Linked DNA regions of Coturnix japonica. Each later gene encodes a partner of the first gene's protein in a complex. Links are inferred from orthologs where the notes say so. Each region holds a gene or a part of one and is shown in the gene's direction. Other genes may lie near its edges.

Region 1 (4,719 bases):
GGTGCCAGGGCTGCGGGGATCAGGGTGGGCACGGATGTGGCACCCATTGGGATGTGGGACCCACTGGGATGTGGCACCCACTGGGATGTGGGACCCACTGGGATGTGGCACTCAGCTGTTGGATGCTCAGCGTGGGGTGCCTGGCCCTGAGACAGCACCGTCCCCTCCAACATCTCACCCCAAATCTGAGTCCCTCAGAACAGCCATCAGCCTCACTGGGGTGGGCTCTGAGCTCGGAGCCCCCAGGGATACCAACAAGGGGGTTGTGGAAATGGAAAACGGTCCCCCATTGGGTTTGTCCCCACAGCCAGGTGTCCTGACAACGTTCTCATCCCAGTCCGAGCCCCTACATCATGGCCTACCACAGCTTCCTGCTGGAGCCCATCAGCTGCCATGCCTGGAACAAGGACCGGACCCGTAAGTACCCGACCCCCAAACCTCAATGGACAGCCCAAAGCAGTGGCAGCACAATGTTGGGGGTGGGCATCACATCCTGCCAGGACCAAAGGTCCCCACTGCAGCGTCATCCCCTGCGTGGGGCTGGTCCTGCCATGGGGCTGAGTCTGGGGCAGCGGGTGCTGCCCTGCACGTTGGTTTTGGGGTCAGCATAGGATACATCCCGCTTCCTTGCTCACTCTCCCTCGGTCCCACTGCAGGGGAGGGAGTGGAGCAGAGCCGGTGATTCATGGCCGATGGCATTTCCCGGCCACGCACAGGGGATGTGGGAGAGAACAAAAAGGGCTTTCTGTGATGGGGCTGCAGTGCAGGCCAGGATGAGGCCAGCGGGCACCAAACACCCACAGCCATCCCAGCCCATCCCTCCCAGCAGAGCCCTGGGACTGGGGCACAGCAGAAGTTGAGCTGTGGGGTTTGGGGGAGGTGTTCCCTTTTCCCCCAGCACAGTTTGACACCAGAGCCCAGTGCTGGGGCAGGACCCTACTGTGCCTTCAGGGCTCTGGGCACGGGAAGGGCTGTGCTGGTGACAGGGATGCATCAAACCTGGGCTGACCCTGCGAGCGTGGGGCCGTCAGAACTGCTTTCACCCCACAGAGATCGCGCTGTGCCCCAATAACCACGAGGTGCACATCTACCGCAAGGACGGGGCCAAGTGGAGCAAGGTGCACGAGCTGAAGGAGCACAACGGGCAGGTGACAGGTGAGTGCATGGGGATGGACGAGCTCTGAGGTCAGTCCCAACCCCACTCAGTGACACTGGTGGCCTTGGGACAGGGGTTGTGAAGGAGAGGAAGGGCTGTGTCTGGTGTTCCTGGTCCCAATTCAGTGTGTCAGGAGGCACCCGGGGATGGGATGATAACATTGTAGAAGGGTTGGGATTAAATTGACTGGGGGAATATAGCAGAGAAGGACTCAGGGGCAGAGAGCAGCCACATCCCCACCTCCAGATGGCCCCCTCATGCCCTGTCCCCATCCACACGGCTCCCCCCACATCACTGCCCCCCCCACCTTCCAGGCATTGACTGGGCTCCTGAGAGCAACCGGCTGGTGACATGTGGGACCGACCGCAATGCCTACGTCTGGACCCTGAAGGGCAACGTCTGGAAACCCACCTTGGTCATCCTGAGGATCAACCGGGCTGCCCGCTGTGTGAAGTGGTCCCCCAAGGAGAACAAGTTTGCTGTGGGCAGCGGCTCCCGGCTCATCTCCATCTGCTACTTTGAGCAGGAGAATGACTGGTGAGTGGCATTGAGGTCACCATCCTGCATTGGGTGGGGATGGATGGAGGGGAAGGGGTCGTATGTGTGGGGAAATGAGGGTGTATGTGTGGGGAAATGAGTGTAGGGGAGATGGGTGGATGGGGAGGTGGGGGAGAGGGATGAGAGGTGAGATAGGGGAGTCATTGAGGAGACGGAGGAGGAGGCAGAGGAGGAGCCTGATGGAGAGGTGGACATAAGTGCTGCAGGACCTAAGAGCTGGGGACACAGCACTGTCCCCATGGCCCAGCTGCTGACACAGGCTGGGAGCCAAGGGCAGTTCCTGGGGGCCCCAATCACCCCCAGACTGTGGTGTGAGAGCCATGGACTGTACCCGGGGGCTTTAGGGGCACCAACGCCGCTCTCCCTGCAGGTGGGTGTGCAAACACATCAAGAAGCCCATCCGCTCCACAGTGCTCAGCCTGGACTGGCATCCCAACAACGTGCTGCTGGCTGCCGGCTCCTGCGACTTCAAGTGCCGGTGAGTGGAAAAGGGGGGACCCCAGGGGGCTCTATGGGGTGAGCAGGGATGGAGCTTGTTCCACGGCGATCTTCTCCTTCCCAGGATCTTCTCAGCCTACATCAAGGAGGTGGAGGAGCGGCCCAGCCCCACGCCCTGGGGCTCCAAGATGCCGTTTGGGGAGCTGATGTTTGAGTCGAGCAGCAGCTGTGGGTGGGTGCACAGCATCTGCTTCTCAGCCAGCGGCAACCGAGTGGCCTGGGTGAGCCACGACAGCACCCTGTGCCTCGCTGATGCCAACAAGAAGATGGCGTAAGCAGGGCTGGGGCTGCAGGGGGATCTGGGGGAGTTTTTGGATGGGATGGGCTACGCAGTGATTTGTGGCTGCCCACGCTGGGGAAGGCAGCTGCTTTTCTGTGGGCTGGATGGTCCCCAAAATGATGCAGGGGTGGAGCTGGGATGGAGCTGGGGTGGGGGTGAAGGGCTGAGTGGAGCCGGGTGCAGGAGGAGGCACAGCCTCTCCTTGCAGCATCACAGCCCCACTCCCACGTCATGAGCTGTGCTGTGCTCAGCATGGTCTCAACTCACTGCTCACACTTTCTCCCTCCCTTTCAGTGTTGCCTCCCTATGCACTGAAACCCTTCCCCTCCTGGCCGTCACCTTCATCACTGAGAGCAGCCTGGTGGCCGCGGTGAGTTGGGCTGGGCTGAGGGCGGGCAGAGCACGAGGTGATTCTGAGCAGGACCACCACTTCATCCCCAGGGCCACGACTGCTACCCCATGCTGTTCACCTACGAGGAGGGCTCGGGCACGCTGAGCTTTGGAGGGAAGCTGGATGTCCCCAAGCAGAGCTCCCAGCGTGGCCTCACTGCCCGCGAGCGCTTCCAGAACCTGGATAAGAAGGCGAGCTCTGATACAGCCAACGCTGCGCTGGATACAGTGCACAAGAACAGCATCAGGTGCTGATGGGGCATCCGTGAGAGGGGGGAGGGTCCGGGGCTGCAGTCTGACCTCCCTCCCCTGCGCTCCACAGTCAGATCTCTGTGCTGGTTGGGGGCAAAGCCAACTGCTCGCAGTTCTGCACCACGGGGATGGACGGTGGCATGAGCATCTGGGACATCAAGGTGAGGCCCCTCCCGAGCCCCCCAACCACATCAGTCCCTCCTTAGCCCCAGCTCAGTGTAATCAATGTCCCCATTGATTACAGTCTGGGGTCTGCACAGCTCCACTCACCTTAGGAAGTAAAAAAATAAGGCAGTTGTTGAACAACTTCTTGTTTCAGAGCCTGGAGTCGGCACTGAAGGATCTCAAAATCAAATGAAGGATGCAGCCAGGAGGTCCCAGCCGCAGCTGCCCCGCTCTGCTGCTGCACTGCTGCACTCCCTCTGCCCCGCGCTCCCGGCTGCCAGCCAGCCCTGGGCTGCTCTAACACAGAGATAAAGGTGGTTGTTGGTTGGGTTGTTTTTTTAATACTATTTTTGTTACCATCCTAACCGATGCTGGTCATACATCGCTTTATGAATTCAATAATAAAGATTTTCCCATATAAATCCAATGTTTTTTTCTTCTTTTCTTTTAAAGCATTTTAATGTGAGTACATGTGATTACAGCATGCTGCAGGGTTTAATTGCATGTGCTCAGGTTAACACGGCTCCTGGCAGCCCCTCCATGCAGTGCAGCCCCTACACTCACAGCCCCAGGACGGATCCTTGCTGGCAGCACTGGGATGGAGATGTTTGAGTCACTCCATGATTCCGAGCTCTGGTCCATCCTCCCACAATGGAGCTGTGTTCTACTGGGCAAAGACCTCTATGTGTCACCCACCCCAGTGCACCTGAACCAGCCCCTTTCTCCCTCCCCTCCTCCTGTAGGCCCCAGCCACCTCCCTTTGCTCCCAAGGCTCACCCCAAGTTTCCACCTGATCCTCTGACACCACCTCAATTCTCGATAAGGCTGAGAACTGCTGGTGCCCCACAACCACAATGTACCAGATTAAAGCATCTTCTGCCAGCTCCACGCTGTGGCACAGCCCAGGGATGGCCTAACACACTGACTGAGCCCAACAGCAGCCTGAAGGTAATTGTTTCCTCCTCTCCACTAACCAGATGGTGCAAGACGTCCATCAGAGAAGAGCAGGAAAAGCTTCTTGCCTTCGGGCTGCAGCTGCTGATAGGGCTCCCAAACCCTGAGCCAAACTCAACATCGTGAACAGCAGAGAGAAGCAGCAGACACAAGAAACCACTGCAAGACCACACTGTGCTGCACTGTGTGTTCTATCAGTTCACTTACACAAGGACATGGCAGTTCTGATCGTTTACATTTTAATCAGCCAAATATACAAGTTCAGTTGTTTTTCCTTTCTTTTTTTTAACTTCATCAAGGTGGGTTTGGGCTTTTTTTCCATCTGGGTCCAATACAATTCATGATACATATACCTGTTTTCCTTTAAACAAAGGATAATGTGGTTAAAAACTGGCACTATCCCTAATCAGGTGAAGAAAACAAAAAATAACCAAGAGGAGAGAAAAGGGGGAGAGAATGGCTGTGA
Region 2 (5,646 bases), on another chromosome or scaffold:
AACACTGCTGGGTGAGCAGGGGGGCTGTTCCCAGGCAGTCAGTGGTGGGAAGATGCTGAGGTGCTGTCTGTCGTGTTGCTTTTTCCTCTGTCTGTTGCTGAAGACACAGCAGTAGATACTGAGGTTCTCTCCCTGCTGGTGGACCACAGAAGCAGTGAGCAGTGCTTTCCAGCCAGTGCTCACCGGTTGCTCCCAGCTGTTTTTTATTTGTCTGTTTGCTTTTTGGTTTACATCTGCCTTTTTAGGTTCTGTTCTGTTTGACTCTGATCATATTGCCTGAATTCCTTCTGGTCTGTTAAGAAGAAAAAAATTCTCTATTTAACAGATGAGTGCCAAACCAAATACGGAAATGCTAATGCTTGGAGATACTGCACCAAAGTCTTTGACATGCTCACAATAGCAGCTGTAAGTGTAAACACCTTAAAAAAGATACAGGTAGATTGTCTAAATATAACTTGAAGAATTGGTGGTGGTGAGGGTGGTGCTGGAGAGGTTCTTGGTTTGGTTGAAATACTGAGCATTCTTTGTGTTCCTTTTTCTCTCCAGCTAATAGATGAGCAGATTCTCTGTGTGCACGGTGGATTGTCTCCGGACATCAAGACACTCGATCAGATTCGCACCATTGAACGTAATCAAGAAATTCCTCATAAAGGCGCCTTCTGTGACCTGGTTTGGTCTGATCCAGAAGATGTGGATACGTGGGCCATCAGTCCGCGAGGGGCGGGTTGGCTGTTTGGTGCTAAGGTGACAAATGAGGTAACGATGCCGTCCTGTGCTGCGTCCCATAATTGCAGGTGTGAGATGAAGTGTTTGACTTTACTGTAGTGACGAGTGGATTAAGGAACTTCCCTTGTGAGGGGACTGAGTTGGTGTGGAGGTGAGGGAGGTTTTCTCGTGACATACTCTTTTCCCCTCATAAAGTGCCAAGTGAGATAATGCACACCTTGTGTTTAAAAAGTGTAATGCAGTGAGACTAACTAGAATTACTAGGCTTTGTGTAGAATACTTGTCTAATGATTTGGAAGAAGAAATACTAGCTTTGACTTAATTTTTGTTACTTTGCAACATAGTAAGAGGCTCAGACCCACTGAACTTCCCAGGCTTCTGAACCGGCCCTAAGATGAATCCCTGCCTCATGCAGTGTGTTGTTCTCTGCTCCTCTGCAGCATATTCAGGAGGGATTGAAAGGCGTGGGCAGTGCAGGCCTAGGCACCACGGCTGTCACAGGCAGGAGTGTTTCTCACTGTTCAGGTTTCAAAGCCCAAAGTTGCCCTCTGTGCTCTGACAGGAGCGGTTTGCTCCCAGCACCATCAGCTCAGTCCCAGCTCTGTGGGGGTGCTGGGCACACATGGCTGGGGCCGCAGAGCTGTGCTGGGAGCACAGGGACACAGGGAGTGTCCTTAGCACAGCCTGCACCTCTCAGAGGCCTTGGGAAAACCTCCCGGGTGGGTCAGTGCTGTCAGCGCTGCAGAGCCCAGAGCTGAGCCCGGAGCTGGGCCCACACAGCGCTGAGGAGCTCTGCTGGGCAGCAGCTGCTGCGCGGCCACGCACAGAGCTGTGACACGCCACTTTTCTTTGCAGTTTGTCCACATCAACAACCTGAAGCTCATCTGCAGAGCACATCAGCTGGTTCACGAAGGCTACAAATTCATGTTTGACGAGAAGTTGGTAACGGTGTGGTCAGCTCCCAATTACTGCTATCGCTGCGGGAACATCGCTTCCATCATGGTCTTCCAGGACGTAAATACGAGAGAACCGAGGCTGTTCCGCGCCGTCCCAGACTCAGAGCGGGTGATCCCTCCCCGGACAACCACCCCCTACTTCCTCTGAGCCGCCCCCGCCCTACAATATACTTTTTATTGAGCACTTTGCTGCTGAGATGCCGCCTCTGCCTTTTATCTTTAACTTATCGCCGTTCGTTGTCATTGCGCTGCGCAGCCGTTTCCCCGCCCTCCCCCGGATCCATTTGTGCGGATCCGAACCGCTCGTTGTTCGTTTCTCCGCTGAGCGGCGCCGTTCGGCTGCTCCCGGTGCTCCGTGCGGCTCCGTTCGTCTCCCGTAGATGTACGAGATTTCAGCAGCAAAGTTCCGCGGCCGTTGGTGCCGCCGCCCACTTTGTAATTAAAGGCTCGTTGTGGTTTTTCAGCGCCGTGTCGCTCCGTGGCGCCGGACGGGACGGGACGGGACGGGACGGGACGGGGGGGCGCACTCCGCTCCGCTCCTTCCTGCTCCGGGCGGGGCGGGCTCCGCGCTTCCGGTTCCGGCGGAGCGGCGGGGGAGGTTCCGGTTCCGACGGTTCCGGTTCCGTCGGCATGGCGCGGAGCACGCTCTCGTCCCGCTTCCGCCGCCTGGACATCGATCAGTACGACGAGAACCGCTTCGTGGAGGAGCCCGAGGAGGCGGCGGCGGCCGAACCCGACGCGAGCCCCGAGGTGGAGGCGCTGCTGAGGCAGTATCCTTCATGGCGGCACGGCCACCGAGCGCTGCCCGCGGGGCCTCGGGAAGGTTTGCGGGGCGGGAGCGCGGCCTGAGGCTGCTCGGTACTGCCCGGTGCTGCCCGGTATCGCCCGGTACTGCTCGGTACTGCTCGGTACTGCCCCGTACTGCCCGGTACTGCCCGGTGCTGGCTGGTATCGCCCGGTGCTGCCCGGTATCGCCCGGTGCCGCTCGGTGCTGCCCGGTGCTGCCCGGTGCTGCTCGGTGCTGCTTGGTGCTGCCCTCCGTGCTGCCCCCGGTCCCGTCCCTCCCCGCTGCCGTTGTGTGGCCGTAGTTCAGGTACCCGCTTTGCAGCGCCCTCCTCCCCTGCCCCCTCCCCTTATCGCTCCGTCCCGGTGCTCCCGGTGCCGCCGTTGCTCCTTGACTCTCGCCGTAGAGGCGAAGCGCTGCGCGCGCTGCACGCGGCCCTAAGGAACAACCCCGCACAGACGCGCAGCGCGGCCATGAAGGTGAGTGCGGCCCCGGGACCGGTAACGAGCGGCGCCCCCGGCGCTGACCTTGTGCTCCATGGCACCTCCCGTCCGTCTGCTCTTGAAGGACGGCGCTGCGGTTTGTGTGCGGGTGTCGCGGTGCTGCTGTAGGACGGCCCGGTGCTGCTGTGTGCCCGGGGAGCGGCCCGTGCTGTGGGGAAACGCGGCCGGCAGCAGCCGGGGGCTGAGAGGGAGCACAGAGCACAGCCCAGGGGATCTTGTGCTGCAGGAGCCGGACGTTGTTCGTTGTTCTCGGGCTGTAGGTTTGTTCTGCAGTGCAGTTCAGGTGGTTCCCCCCAGGTGGGAACACCAACAAGTCCAGTTTTAAAGCTCTCTGCTCTTCTTCCTTCTCACTACTGAAACTTAAAGTGTAAAACTTCCTCCTGTTTGGCTGCTGCATCTTCACACCATCAGCGCAGCCGCTGCTCCGAGTGCTTTGCTGCACTTGGGGTCACATCCAGCTTTGCTGATCCTAATGCCGTTTTCCTTCCTGTGCAGGAGCAGGCGCAGGGCACCATGCTCAGAGTCCTCACGTCTTTTAAGAGCAGTGAAATTGAACAAGCGGTGAACTCCTTAGACAGAAACGGGATTGACTTGTTAATGAAGTATATTTATAAAGGATTTGAAAAGCCGACAGAAAATAGCAGTGCAATATTACTCCAATGGCATGAAAAGGTGAGTGTTTGCTCTGGGCTCTGTTGTCACTGTCGGTGCTTTCAGGACCTCCTGGATGGGGAGGTGTGCGATGAGGGGGATCCTCCCTGAGGAGCAGAGCTCGGTGCTGCCTTTTGTTCTTGGCCTCTTGGTGTTGGGCGTATGGAGTTTCTGTGGTACTTCAGAGCTCTCCTCAGCCTGGAGGGATGGGAGGGGTGGGTGTGGCAGAGCAGCGTCAGCTGCAGGAAGGTTTATGACTTGTGTCTGGTGGTGGTTTCCCCCACAAGGAGCAGCAGCTGGGAGTGGAGGTGAGATTGATTGATTGATTGATTGAAGGTGCCTTTGGCTCATGGGGTGCCCAGGATGGCTCAGATGTGATGCTTTTTGTCAGTGAAACGCTGTGCTGAAGTACATCCGAGCTGACCAGTTATAGCAAACCTGCTCAGTTTGCACAGTAAAGGCTTTGATGCCTCAGTGGCACTTAGTGGCGTTTCTGTGGCAGGGTCGCAGCGAGGGGGGCTGTATGTGCTGTGCTCACAGCTGGCTGCTGGCCGGTCATTTGCACAGGGCGTGCTTCCTTGTGATGAGTTAAAACAAGTTGTGCAATGGTGACTCCAGCTCCTGGCAGCTGTCCCCAGCCTTGCAGAATATCGATAGGCAGGAGGGGGAGGAAATTGCACAGGAAGGAACATGTTTGTGCTTGACATTTTGTGTTGTTCTTCCTACTGGAGGCTCTTTTTGGGTCACCGTAGGTTGATACTCCCAGTACGTAACATTACACAAGACTGCCCTGACTGGAAAGAAGTCACTGCTCAGAACACGTAGACACGTGCAAGCATCTCTTCCCCTTTGTTTTCAAAGGAAAGCTGCAGTTGTGCAGTGTGCAGGGAGCTGCTTAGAGCTTTGTGTTCTGCTTTCCAGCAGTGCAGGCAGGACGTGCAGCTCACTCTGACTGTGGGCAGCAGCTCAGCAGCACCTGCCTGGCCCCTGGAAGGGCCTGATGCCATTTCTGCATCCGTCAGGTCTAATCTGAGCAGCTCCTCTGCGGCCCTCACTTACATGCATCTCCTCCTAGACTTTAGAAGAATGTTTCATTTTTATTAAGGATGCAAATGAAACCAGACTAAGCCCTTCCTCCTTTCCCCATTCAGGAGCAGGAGTGTAAGGTATTCTGCATCATCGGTGTCCTTCACTAGATGCAAGTCAGTTCATAAGGTTTTGTGTACTTTAGCCTTCAGATGTGGTGGGATGTGTTACAATGAGCTGTTTTGTCCACCCTTCATTTCCTTGCTTCTTAGATTTATAGCATGTTTAGAGAGTAGCGCTGTGTATGTACTGCAAAAACCTGGGTCAAAGAAGGAGCTCATCTGTACGTTCAGAGAGGACAGGGGGCATAGAGCTCCCGAGTTCATGGCCCAAGACAGGAACAGGCAAGGAGCTGAAATGTGGCAAAGGAATAAGTGTGTGAATGTAGAACTTGTTACTGCAGGAAGCTGAAGGTTTTAGCAGTGCAGAAGGTACCTGCACAGGTACAGAGGGGTGGAACAACTTGAGAACTGATGCTCTGGTTGTAGCAATTAGCATAAAACATTGCTTAGGAGTTAACAAATACAGCGTGCGCTTTGTGTGACGGAACACACAAGTTGTACCAGCAGAACCACTGCCAGCCCTGCAGGCTGCTAAGAACAATGAAGGTTTCATCGTAAGCCGTGTGTGACTGTAGAACTGATCTTGTCTCCTTCTCCCACCCCACAGGCATTAGCAGCAGGTGGACTAGGTTCCATAGTAAGAGTTCTTACAGCAAGAAAGACTGTTTAAAGACTATTAACTCGAAGCAAGACAACCATCAGTTTTGGACCCAGAAGAAGGAAGTAGCTGAAGTGATGCTGGTCCATCTTGATTAGAGATTCCAATCTACTGAAATACTATGGAAACCTCCTCTTGGACTGCTTTTAACATTAAAGGTGGGAAAAGAGTAAAGGTATTCCTGTATATTCTGACTATCACGTACAGGAGCCAAGACATT
Region 3 (5,836 bases), on another chromosome or scaffold:
TCTTGATGTAAACTTCACTCAGAATCACGGAATGATGGGTGGCTGCGGTAGCTGTGTTAAAGGATAGTGAGTCATTTGTTCTTTACTTCGTTAACGATGGCTTTGTTTCTCCCAGGTACTTAGATCCAGATATGTATTCTATGATTGAAGATTCTACTAATATACTGAAAAGCAAAATGTTTAAAAAACTGACAAAGTCCATATGTGGATTGGTACGTATAGTGCTCTTTAACTGGTTTTAATTCAGCCACATACCTGCAAACCATGCTGTGTGGTTACTGACCTCACTGCTGAGCTAGATACTGTATGCACTATAACATTCTCCCCCTGCCCCATGAAGCCATGTGTCTACCTGCAGATTTATTAGCAAAGCCTGAATCTAAAAGATTACCAGGCACTCAAACATTTTTCCTTTTGCCTGTCCTAACTCAGCTTTTGATGTTTCAGGTTAGCATAAGATTCCTGATAATACTTGACTGTAGCCAGTAAAATTCATGTGAATCATATTCTGTAAGCCATTTTGGGAGACAGCTTTATTGACTGGGTAGAACTTTGGACTGATAGCCAGGAATTCAGAGTGGAGAATTGCCATTAACGTGCAGCATAGCTTTAAGCAGCCTTAGATTTTCCTTGTCCAGACTGCTGAGCAGCAATGATGCGATGAGAAAATGTAGTGTATTTCCCTACTGATGTCTTTTGAATCCTTGCTGTAGATTGATGACTATGGTATGGTTCGATTTCTACCTTTTGATCGCTCCGATGAGGAAAGTATAAACATAGTTCTGCAGCACATAGACACTACCATCCAGTATGGAGAAGATCTTGAATTCAAAGAACCGAAGGTAAGATATTTCTGAAGATAAGATGAAAAATTAGAAAGGATCCACAATAGAAATCATAATATAATCATGTTATTTCAATGTTAAAGGTTGGAAAAGATGATTGTATGCCACTAAGATCTTCTTAAAAATTCAGTTTCCTACTCTCAGGATATGCAAAATAACCACACCTGGATTTTGATGTATACATATGGGAGAGCTTTAGAAACAAACTGCTGTTCAGGAAGTTTTGCTACTTGTTTTATAGAACTGCACTGGACATTGTTGTGCTTATTAAAATAAAGCATTGCAGAACTGACAGCATCCAACAGTCACTAGAGAAAAGTCAGGTATTACGTTTTCTGTTTTCTTGTTGCAGGAATATGAAGAAGATAAATCTGCACTCGTGGATGAGTATTTTCAAGATCACGTGAATGAGTAAAAAGCAGATGCTGGAAAAGAGGAAGAAAATGCATCGCTTGTGTGTTTTAAAGAAAGCAAAAACCATCCACCTCCACACAAACATATTTATGTGATGTTTTGCCTTTAAGATAACTAACATCGCTAGTGAGAAGTGAGCTATATGACGGTGTATACGACAGAATATAGTGAGCTGTATTACTGTTAATAGTTCTTTTGTAAATACAGAATGTTCCTGGACTCTCGAACGTTCTCAAAATATCTTTTATTATTATTTCTCCTAAAATATATTAATCCAATTTATTAGCTAATTTCAGCTGAATTGGAGGATGCTTTTCTTCTAGTCATATCCAAGTATTTATAAACCTTTCCTTGATCCTAAGGAACGAGTTTTATTAATGATTATTGAATAAAAGTGTTTTCTAAAAAGGGCCTTGTGGTGACGTAAAGCTTAATATCAGTAAATGCTCATATATAGGCGTGTCATCTTTTTCTATGTATTATATAGTTCCCAGGATTTGAGCCTATGTGTAGAAGAGCAGCACTTCTACCACTTGCGCCACAGGGGGGATTCAAACCCAGTAGAATAAGAGCATCTAATGTCATTTTGTTGGAGCGGCTTGGTAAACCAAACCAATGATTGAATACTTTGAGGCAGTGGCAGTTATCTAAACCTGAGGATATGACACAGCTACTCCCAGCCCTGGACAGTTAGGTGAGAGTTCAGGGTAGTCATTGCCATAACCAGAAAGAGGTTAGAATTAGAGAACACAGCTTTTGGGGACGCAGCTTTTTAAGGACTCCTTGCAGCCGCCTTTTCCTCCAGGCTGAACAGCCCATCTCCCTCAGCCCATCCTCACAGCAGAGGTGCCCTTTGCTCACGGAAAGGAGAAACCCAGCCCTTCAGCTTCAAATCTCCCCATTTTTTCGGCCTGACTCAAGTGACGAGGAGGTGGAGGGGGGGCAAAAGGGGGGCAAATGGGGCACTCTGCCTCACAAGGACAACAGTTCCCTCAGACCCAGCGCGTAATGGGGGGGGGTCAGTTCTGTGCTTCCCCATCAGGGAGCGGCTCCTCGGGGCGGTACGGGCTGTGGCTTCCCCCTGTCGCACCGCCCCGCTGCCTCATTTCCTGAAGGAAGAGGAAGATTTGCTACGAGCTCAGCGCCGCTGCCGTCGCACCGAGCTGCGCCCTGCCCTTCGCCATGCCGGTGAGCGGAGCGGGGCAGGGGGAGGGAAGGGGCAGGGCGGGCGCTGAGCGCCAGGGACGGACTGGGGGCGGATGAAAGGGGGGCTGTAGCCGGGAGCCTCGCACTGATGAGCGGATCGGTGTGGAGGGACCTGCCGCCTTCCTCTTTTCTTCCCCTTTTTTTTTTATCCCGTTCTGACCTCACAGAGTCAGCCCCCCCCCCCCCCCCGTGGCACCCAGCCGGGCGGCAGGAGTGCATCTGGGGGAACCGCACCACAAGGCCACACCAGAAAGTAGCACATCCCAGTGCTTCTTATTCACTTACATCAGTTTTAATGCACAGAAAGGCCTTTTGTGTGTGTATGTGATAAGCCTGGTTTTGGTTATTATTTAGATACTGACAGGCTGCTCTCAGCTCTCCCCACAGCCCTCTCCAGGCTGCACAGCCCCATCTCTCTCAGCCTGTGCTCTTCCACCACCACTGACAAATGGTTCCAATAAATGCTTTTGTGCTCATCGCTGGAATGGTGCTGAGTTGCAGAAGGCCTAAGTAAGAAATGACCATTGTTTGTGCAAGGAAAGGTTCCTGGAAGCACCACAGAATCACAGAATTATCAAGGTTGGAAAAGACCTAGAAGATCATCCAGTCCAACCATCACCAATACTTCCCAGTTAAATCATATCCCTAACAAACCAAACTCTGTTTTAACAGGATAAAGGAAGGGCAATATTCTGCAGGAATAATAAGCAGTCTTCCCTTGTCTCTAGGCTTACCATTCAACTTTAATGGACTCGGATACCAAGCTAGTGGGGAACATGGCACTGTTACCCATCAGAAGCCAGTTCAAAGGCCCAGCACCTCGAGAAAGTAAGTTTATAAGAATATAAGTGGTGCCAACTAGAAAAAATGATGATCCCATGGCTGTTATCTGGCACGGCTCTGGGTAATTCAGCTGCTTTAGCAATTAACACTGCCTACAGATAGTATTTTCACACTTCCTCCTGTGCCTCTTTTCAGCAGGCTGTGAGGATGTGGTGCTATTAACCCTTTGCTGTCAGAGGAAGTGGAGGTTTAGCTGCAGAACTCAGCTTTGGTGCAATAGCTGAGGATGCTTAACTGTGGCAATTCGGTTTGAAAAAGGAAATATTTCAGAATTCAAGCATGTTTGTAAAAGAAAGTGAAAGCTGCAGGTCAACCTGCCACTATGTAATCTACCCTTCCTCTTCTTTTTTTCAGGAGAATAATGAGGAAGGTTGTTTGATTGTGGTGTTAATTTCTCCCAAATATATTTTTGGGCCCTCAGAAAGAGTTTTAACAGTATATTCTATATACTGTTGCATATATATTATATTCTATACTGTTATACATATTAATATACATATATTAATATGTTCTATACTGTTAAAACTCTGGTGAGTCACTCAACTGGTAGGATATACCAAAGAACTGCCAACCTGCTGCCCTTTGTGAAGTCATGGGAAAAGAAGGGAGTTAAAAGTCCTACTAAGAGTAAGAAACTTAAATGGTTTGGTCAGAGATCACCAGTCTTTCACACGGGTAAAATTTACCATAGTCCTCTGCTTCTTGTAAATGATTTTGCTTTTGCAAGAAACACTGTTTGTGTACTTCAACATGTAAAAGTTATGACCAAATGTGTAGCAATGCACTGCTTAATTTTGGTTTTCTTTCATTTTCTTTCTTTTGCTTTAGCTAAAGATACAGATATTATAGATGAAGCCATCTACTACTTCAAAGCCAACGTTTTCTTCAAAAATTATGAAATTAAGGTATTTTTTTTCTGCAATAATTCCTTTCCTATGAGGAAATTGCTGGCACAAATGCCATGAACTCGTTCCTATTTCAAACTGTTAGCAGTTCCATGAAGTCCCTTGTAGTCTAACAGACCGGGCTCTGTGCTTACTCTTGTTTTGCAGAACGAGGCTGACAGAACACTGATCTACGTAACTCTCTACATTTCTGAGTGCTTGAAAAAGCTGCAAAAGGTAAGGAGGGAAACAGTCTGTTCTGGGGATTATACTCAGGAGAGTATTTGCTGGTATTCATCTCCTAAAGGCACAGCAGACTCTGTTCACTGCAACCCCAGTTTACAGAACCACAAAACAAATACTTGAGGCTGTGGTTTTGCAGGGACACTGCACTGCTGTTCTTGATAAGTCTTAATGGTTTAGGGATTGTAATCAATTGTTTGGTTGGTTCTTTCAGTGCAACTCTAAAGGCCAAGGAGAGAAAGAGATGTACACGCTAGGAATCACTAATTTCCCAATCCCTGGGGAACCTGGCTTTCCACTTAATGCCATTTATGCCAAACCTACCAACAAGCAAGAGGAAGGTAAGACTTAACAAAGACCCCTAAAGACTTGCTTTGGTCCAAGCTTTACCAGCTGTGTTTTTGCAGTTACAACTAGAAAACTTCTAGCTCTGTTTTCTGAGGTCTTCTGATCTTATAACTGCTAGATAGATTCTGTAACAGAGCTCAAGCTAACTCCTACACTGGCAGAGAGGAAACCCATAATGATGGGCAAAGGCTTAGCTGAAAGAAGAAAACAATTGAGATATGTTTTACTCATACAAATATAACAAATCCAAGTATGGCTGTAAAATGAACAGCCAGCAAGGGCCTACAGATGTGAGAGCTCACATTTCTTGCTGTAGGCAGTGATGTCCGCTGCCTTCACACTCAGTTTAGTTTGCCTTAATGCTACTTTGTCCTTGTGCTGTATTTCAGAGGTGATGAGAGCATACTTGCAGCAGCTCAGGCAAGAAACTGGCCTTCGACTTTGTGAAAAAGTATTTGATCCTCAGAGTGACAAGCCCAGTAAGGTAAGGATTTGGCCTAATGATCACAGATTCAATGAGAGGCTTGGTTGCTTTCTCCAAAAGATGGAGATGCATGAATTACATCCTGGTCTTGTATTTCATGTGCAAATATATTTGCATTTCATCATGAAAATTATTCAAGCTAATTTAGTTCCAAAGGCATAGCTTTCTGATGTTCATTATTACACTGCAATAAATATATTGGAATTGGTATTAAACCTACTTTTAAGTCACTATTTCATTTATAAGATAGAAACATCTCTTGCCTGTTTTCTAACTGTGTGCTTTCTTCTGCAGTGGTGGATCTGCTTTGTGAAGAGACAGTTCATGAACAAGAGCCTGTCTGGACCTGGGCAGTGAACAGACAAAGCAGCACCATGAAGCATTTCCACAGCCAGGTGTATGAAATATTCTGCCTTTGTTTTGGATATATTTTGTACCAAGAAAAAGAAGCGTATATGAAGAAAAAAGTCAACGAGGGGAAGAGGGGCGTAAAGTTAAAAGATCATTTGAGTACTGTAAGCAAGTAATATTAAGCTGGTGCTTAATAAATGATTCCTATAATGCTGTTC
Region 4 (5,863 bases), on another chromosome or scaffold:
GTCCTCATGAGAGTATCGCTCACCAGCGTGATGTTGTAGGGCAGCCAGCAGACAAGGAAGACCAGCACCACAGCTAGGATGACCTTCATGGCACGCTGCTTCTGGACGTTCTTGGTCTGCAGGAGGGTGTGCACGGTGACACCGTAGCAGAAGAGCATGACCAGGAGCGGCAAGGCAAAGCCAAAGGTCTGCGGCAGCACCCGCAGCACCACCCTCCACTTGGTGGTATTCTCATTTCCAATGCGCTCGTAGCAAACTGTGCCATTGCGGTCTGAGACAAACGCCTCGCGGAACAGCAGCACAGGCAGGGAGAGCAGCACCGAGAACACCCAGATGCCCACGCAGACAAACTTCACCCAGTGTCTCTTCTCAGTGGCAGCGCGGGTGGCGTAGACGATGGCCAAGTAGCGGTCCACGCTGATGCAAGCCAACAGCAGGATGCCGCTGTAGAAGTTGGATTCCTGCAGCACCGAGATGGCTTTGCACATGACGGTGCCAAAAACCCACTCGTGGGCCCAGTAGGCAGCCCAGAGCGGCAGGCTGAGGGCAAAGAGCAGGTCGGCCACAGCCAGGTTGAGCAGGTAGATGTCGGTGACGGAGCGGTTCATGTGGCTGGAGGTGACCACCAGCACCACCAGCCCGTTGCCCACCATGCTGAGGAGGAAGACCAAGCAGTAGATGAAGGCTACGAAGTATTTGTTGGCTACAGAACCTTCATTACGGCATGGGGAAGAGGAGACATCGATGTCAGGCAGAACCAGGCTGTAGTTGCCATAGTCAGAAGTGTAGTTGTATAAGATATCGAAGAGTTCATCGGCGTAAAATGTCCCCATTTTGCCTGCAAAGCACAAAGCAACGTGGGCTCAGGGCACATCCAGCACTTCCAGCCCCCATTGCTCTCCCACACCCCATAACCTCACCACACCATACAATGAACAGGCTCATGCCTGAAAACTATCCCCATACGTCCTCCTGCCCAACAGCCCCGTGTGGACTGCTTCACCTCAGCACTGTCCCCTCCAGGTTCAGCCCCAATGAAGGATCCCTCCTGAGTCCCTCCGGTTGGTGTGAGTCCTTTGAATCCTGATGTCCTCCCCAAAAACCCTTCTCACACCAGCTCCCCGAGTGCACCACAGTACCCAGAGCAGAGGAAACACGCTTCTCCCCACTATATTTTTGGCTTCTCCTTCCGATTCCCCACCCAAATTCCCTGCAGTTCCTATGGGGACAGATTTCTGCCCACAGAAGGGGAAGTCTCCATTTCCTCCCTGGACCCCACGCAGAAAACTACTTGGGGACATCAGCTCCCCCCAGGGTTGGGGTTACCCTACGTGGAGCTCAGATTATGCTATGCAGAGCCCTCCCTGCACCCCTTGCCCAGGTAAGCAGGGTGCCCCATGGCACCCCATAGCCAAGCATCCCACGCACTCACCGCCTCTGCTGCACCCCAAATCTTCTCCCCTTCCCAGCTCCAAGCCCGGCTGAGGTCTGCCACGGGATGTTACCCCAAAACGGAGACCCTGGGGAGCACGGGGACGTGCCAGCAGGTCCCACACCTGCACCAAGTGAGCCAGGCTCAGAGCTGGCACTGCCGCTTTATGCAGCGCAGGGAGGAAGCAAGGTTGCAAAACCTTCTGCAGCACGAAGAGGAAGCGGCAGCAGAGGGGACACCTTCCCTGCACCCCCAGCCCAGGGCACAGCACACCCGCTTTGCACGGCTGGGGGGGGTTCGTGGGGCTCTGCTGGCCATGGGGCTTCACCCCATCCCTATGGGTGCTCCGGGGACACCCCATATTATCCTGGGGCGCTCTCACATCATTAGTATAACGCTGGGGGGGCACTGTAGGGACTCCATCATCACACATAGGGACTCCATCATCCCACACAGGGACTCCATCACCCCACATGTAGGCAGTCCCCATTCCGGCTCACCCCACCATTCCCCCTTCACACCCCACATTCACTCCCGACCCCCATCATGTAGGCGGTGTGTGTTGGGGGGGGGCGGGACGAGCCCGGAAGTGACGCGCGGGCTCGAGAGCGGAAGCGGCGGCGCAGGCTCGGGCGGGTCCCCGGTGCGCGCAGCGGGCTCGGCTCCCTCCGGCCTCGGAGCGCTGAGAGCCGGTTCCCCAACCCCGGTACCGACATGATCCTGCTCGAGGTCAACAACCGTATCATCGAAGAGACCCTCACGTTGAAGTTCGAGGGCGCGGCCGCCGGGTAGGGCAGGGAGATGGGTCGGTGAATGAGGCCGGGGCGGGGCGGAGGAGGAAGCGTTGCGGCCTAGTGAGGCCTGAGGGAGGGGAGGGGGATAAGGAGCTAAGGGATAATGTCTATGGGAGAGGCGTGGGAGGGGCGGGTGGCACCGAGCTGGGCCTTGGGTGTGAGGTATGACAGGGCAATGGGGACATGGGGTGGGGCCGGCAAGGGTGGAGGGGGCTGAGGTGGTGGGACTGAGTGGATGAATGGAAGATTGTGTGAGGCCAGGCTCCATGGGGTGCTTAGGGCTGGGATTAGGTGAGAGTGATGGAGCTTGTGGTGTTGGGGTGTGCCATTGGGATGGGAGGTGTTGGCAGGGTCAGAGGATCCGCTTGTCCTGGCTGCTGGCATAGGGCTGCTGAGCATCTTGGCTTTGTGGAGGTTGTAGGGCAGTTGATCTGCACCTGTATCTTTGGTCTGGATCATATAGTCCCCGGGGAGCCACTGAGTGTTACTGACAGCAGCGCTTCAGTGCTGGGAAGATATTGTCTGAGCATAGTTCAGCTTGAGACAGTCATCTCACGTGAATGCCCTTATCTGCAGCCATGCAATCTCCAGAAAGAGATGCTGCCTTAGTGGTGGTCAGCCCTTAAATGGGATCTAGGAGACGTGGAGTCAAGCTCCACCCCTTCCAGGAGCACAGCTGAATTACCTTCACCTGTGCTCCCACAGCTCCCACTGTGCTGCCTTGTGGGATCACCACGCTGCTCTCTTCCCTGCCATCAGCCTCTTCATGTGATTATTTAGTGCAACATATCCCCAAAGCACCACACTGGGAGGAGAGAGCTCTTGGGTGCTGCATTTTCCATTAGGAAAAAAACCTGAAGTATCTGGAGGTTAATAGTGTGTGTCAAAAAACACTCGTTCACCACAAGCTCATATGGAGGCGTTCTGCTGGTGGGAGCCTGTGTGCGTGTCCCTGCATCAGTCCAAGTGCAGCAGCAGCAGTGAATGGAGGATGCAGCCATCAGGAGACTGAGTGCAGCTCAAAGCCCTGACTCAGTGCAGCTAGAGCTGAGGTTACTCACTCACCTCCAATCTACAATGTTTCCATTTTGCTGTACAGCAAAGCTTGTTACTGCCTCAGCGTGCTTGCCTGGCATACCAATCCTTCCTGGATCAATTTGCTGTGAGTGTGGCCAATGATATTCTGCCTCTTGTTCTATGGGCCGTCCTTTCTTTTGCATAGAAGACCAGCTAAGTGCTCCTTCTGGATGAGTGTTGCACCCTCAGAATGTTGCTGGAGGGGAGGAAGTAATTCACTTCTGCATTTTCTTCTGTGCTTGTGCTGTTCTGCTGTCCAGGAAAGAACAAGGCATGGATGAAGGTCAGAGATGAAACCAAGGAAAATGGAAATCTACTTCTCTGAACAAGTCTTTTTGGGTACTGGTGCTATGCCATGCCATGTTTATTCATGAGATATTTCTTTTCCATCCAGCTGGTGTTCCAGGGTCATCCTGTGGCATTGAGCTTGAAGGCAGGAGGGGATTTGCTCTGTTTGGGTGACCGTCAACCCAAGATGTGTCCTGGGGATGGACCCAGGGTGGTCAGGGCAAGGACACACTCCAAGGGATTAAGTGATTGAGAGGAGTAAGTCACTGTGAGCTGACCCTGAGTTATCTGCCCTGCAACTTGAATTGTGCAGATGTGATGCACAGTTTATCTAAACTTGCTCCATGATGTGGGCACTTCCCTCTCCTTCTGTGACTGTGCCATGGATCCAGCAGCTCCCTGAGCTGAAAGATTAGTCTGTCAAAGTGCTGAAGTGGGGGAATACCTGGGAACAATAACCTATTTTCAAGGTAAAACATTTCTGTCTCCTGTGTTCACTTCTTTTTAAAGCACAGCAGAGAACTACCCCCCCAAAACAGATTTGCCCTCCAGTTTTGGTCCACTCTGATCCCAGCCAAACTGTAGCAGAGGGCTTGTGTTCTTAGGTATGGTTCTTCAGCCTTACATTGCTGGCAGTTTAGGGCAAGCTAATTAATCATCTGTCTCAAATTGGTACTTACTGTTTACCTGCTGTGCAGGAGAAGAAATTGCATAGGTGGAGAACAGTGTGATTTTTCCCTTGGTTGGAGGTGGAGGGGAAACATATCTCATTCAATGTTAGGTTTCTGTAAAGCTTTCAATAGGGGCAAATTTGCAGGGTTTCATGAGTGCTGGTTGAATGGGAAAACAGCTGAAGCTTCAACTTCTGTGCTGTAAACCAGTTCCTGTAGGCTGCTTGGAGAGTTTGGCTGCAACTGCATCCACATCCTCTGTGGTATTTCCCATTTGTGGTCCCTGTGGTGCTCACCTGCTCTGCAGTGGAGTGCTCTGGCCTTGCTGGGTGAAGGTGGGTGATACGAACTTTGTGCTGCCAGTGCTGCCTGGGAGTGACTTCCTTGTGGGGTAGCTGGGGACAGCACAGGGATGGAGGAGCTCAGGCAGCCCAGCATCTGCAGAATGGCCAATCCTGGAGCAGGTGAGAAGCGTTCAGGTGATGTTTGCACTTTGGGGTTCGGTGCAGGATCAGCAGCACCTCCTGCAGCTGCCGCGTTTGGTGCAAGACAAGAGCAGATATCAGCAGAGCCTGCAGACTGGCTGCCGTGCTGACAGTGGAAGCTGGGGTCCCAGCAATGCTGTGGGTCAGCACACATGGGGACTTCCATTACCGCACAGCAAAGTGCTTCTCAAGTTTGTGGCAGGCGTGCTGTGGGAGCTCTTTGATTTCATGCACGCTTACAGCTCACGCAAAGTAGCTTTTGTTAGTCGAGTGGGGCCTGGGGAGAGAGGGGGGGAGGAACAGCTTTGGATAATTTTAGACATTGCTCATAATTTTTTTATTGGGGTGACCTTTCTGGAGCGAGAGCCTGCAGTCTGTCACTGAATCTGGCTCACTCTCATCCAACAGTGCATCAACTCGGTGATCTGCAGGCTCTGCTCAGAGCTGGAAGCTCGAAGCTTTGAAATATTCCCCCCACTCCTTTCATGAGGTTTTTTTTCCCCCCCCCTCCTCTGGAGCGAGATATTCTAATATCTGTGTGCCTGCAGCTTTTAAAATAATTGCCATCTTCCTTTATTGGGTACAAACCTTAATTGCGATGTGGGAGCTGCTTTAGTCATCTATCGATGTGGTTGTTGGCCAGGCTCGCATTTGCATGCAGGTCTGTTTAATGCAGGAGATGAGGGCTCTGGCTAATTACACAGCCTTCGTTCTTCTGTTCTTCAATTTGTTGTAACATATGGCCGAGAGCCTCCGTGGCCTGAGAATGAGGCAGGGAAGTTTGGAGGCTGTCCGAATCAAAATTGAGGAACTGCTGTCAGGAAAAAGGAGATTTGTTGTTGCTCTTAAGTGCTTGTTGGCATCTCTCCATGGGTTCTGTGGCTCCTCTTGGATGCGCTGCTGTGGGGAAAAATCTGATTTGGAGCTGGCTTTGCGTTAGATGGACTTTGGTGCAGGAGCCATTTAGAGATGAATAGGGAATGCAGGCAAGGGGGAATGCAGGCAAGAAGGAATACAAATCCATCAAGGCCTCTTATTGTTCTAAGCGGGGAGCAGCTGGGATTTGGTGTGGATTTGACTTCAGACCTGATAAGCGTTATCAGAAAATGGGCAGCC

Evidence for each region.
Region 2: the proteins of ARPC1B (region 1) and ARPC5L are in contact, whole or in part, in a cryo-EM structure (PDB 6YW6), measured with the Homo sapiens proteins. The link is inferred for Coturnix japonica from reciprocal best matches to the Homo sapiens genes ARPC1B and ARPC5L. Residues at the interface, in NP_005711.1 of Homo sapiens: Arg118, Lys138, Arg142, Phe164, Ser201, Gly203, Trp204, His222, Asp223, Ser224, Thr225, Leu240, Ala241, Ser242, Glu243, Thr244, Leu245, Pro246, Phe281; in NP_112240.1 of Homo sapiens: Asn21, Lys22, Arg102, Gly139, Leu140, Gly141, Ile144, Arg145, Thr148, Arg150, Lys151.
Region 3: ARPC1B (region 1) and ARPC3 share a complex: the UniProt entries of both Homo sapiens proteins name them as parts of the arp2/3 complex. The link is inferred for Coturnix japonica from reciprocal best matches to the Homo sapiens genes ARPC1B and ARPC3.
Region 4: ARPC1B (region 1) and ARPC2 share a complex: the UniProt entries of both Homo sapiens proteins name them as parts of the arp2/3 complex. The link is inferred for Coturnix japonica from reciprocal best matches to the Homo sapiens genes ARPC1B and ARPC2.

What each region holds. Positions count from the first base shown.
Region 1 is NC_029529.1:4,412,630-4,417,348, forward strand, and holds the end of ARPC1B (actin-related protein 2/3 complex subunit 1B), read left to right. Parts: exon of another isoform or gene 1-24; intron 25-307; 5' UTR 308-353; coding exon 354-417; intron 418-1,050; coding exon 1,051-1,155; intron 1,156-1,470; coding exon 1,471-1,693; intron 1,694-2,084; coding exon 2,085-2,192; intron 2,193-2,276; coding exon 2,277-2,483; intron 2,484-2,786; coding exon 2,787-2,862; intron 2,863-2,933; coding exon 2,934-3,130; intron 3,131-3,204; coding exon 3,205-3,295; intron 3,296-3,453; coding exon 3,454-3,492; 3' UTR 3,493-3,726; downstream 3,727-4,719. UniProt on the Homo sapiens protein: Component of the Arp2/3 complex, a multiprotein complex that mediates actin polymerization upon stimulation by nucleation-promoting factor (NPF).
Region 2 is NC_029532.1:8,068,708-8,074,353, reverse strand, and holds the start of ARPC5L (actin-related protein 2/3 complex subunit 5-like protein), read left to right. Parts: upstream 1-2,264; 5' UTR 2,265-2,312; coding exon 2,313-2,452; intron 2,453-2,872; coding exon 2,873-2,945; intron 2,946-3,464; coding exon 3,465-3,641; intron 3,642-5,375; coding exon 5,376-5,438; 3' UTR 5,439-5,646. Other genes in the region: PPP6C (serine/threonine-protein phosphatase 6 catalytic subunit), read left to right, coding at 326-405, 547-756, 1,582-1,830. UniProt on the Homo sapiens protein: May function as component of the Arp2/3 complex which is involved in regulation of actin polymerization and together with an activating nucleation-promoting factor (NPF) mediates the formation of branched actin networks.
Region 3 is NC_029530.1:4,512,255-4,518,090, forward strand, and holds the start of ARPC3 (actin-related protein 2/3 complex subunit 3), read left to right. Parts: upstream 1-2,312; 5' UTR 2,313-2,441; coding exon 2,442-2,447; intron 2,448-3,193; coding exon 3,194-3,293; intron 3,294-4,136; coding exon 4,137-4,213; intron 4,214-4,360; coding exon 4,361-4,429; intron 4,430-4,649; coding exon 4,650-4,776; intron 4,777-5,172; coding exon 5,173-5,267; intron 5,268-5,561; coding exon 5,562-5,624; 3' UTR 5,625-5,836. Other genes in the region: GPN3 (GPN-loop GTPase 3), read left to right, coding at 116-212, 714-842, 1,198-1,260. UniProt on the Homo sapiens protein: Component of the Arp2/3 complex, a multiprotein complex that mediates actin polymerization upon stimulation by nucleation-promoting factor (NPF).
Region 4 is NC_029522.1:24,164,215-24,170,077, forward strand, and holds the start of ARPC2 (actin-related protein 2/3 complex subunit 2), read left to right. Parts: upstream 1-2,020; 5' UTR 2,021-2,146; coding exon 2,147-2,220; intron 2,221-5,863. Other genes in the region: C-X-C chemokine receptor type 1-like, read right to left, coding at 1-838, 1,433-1,922. UniProt on the Homo sapiens protein: Actin-binding component of the Arp2/3 complex, a multiprotein complex that mediates actin polymerization upon stimulation by nucleation-promoting factor (NPF).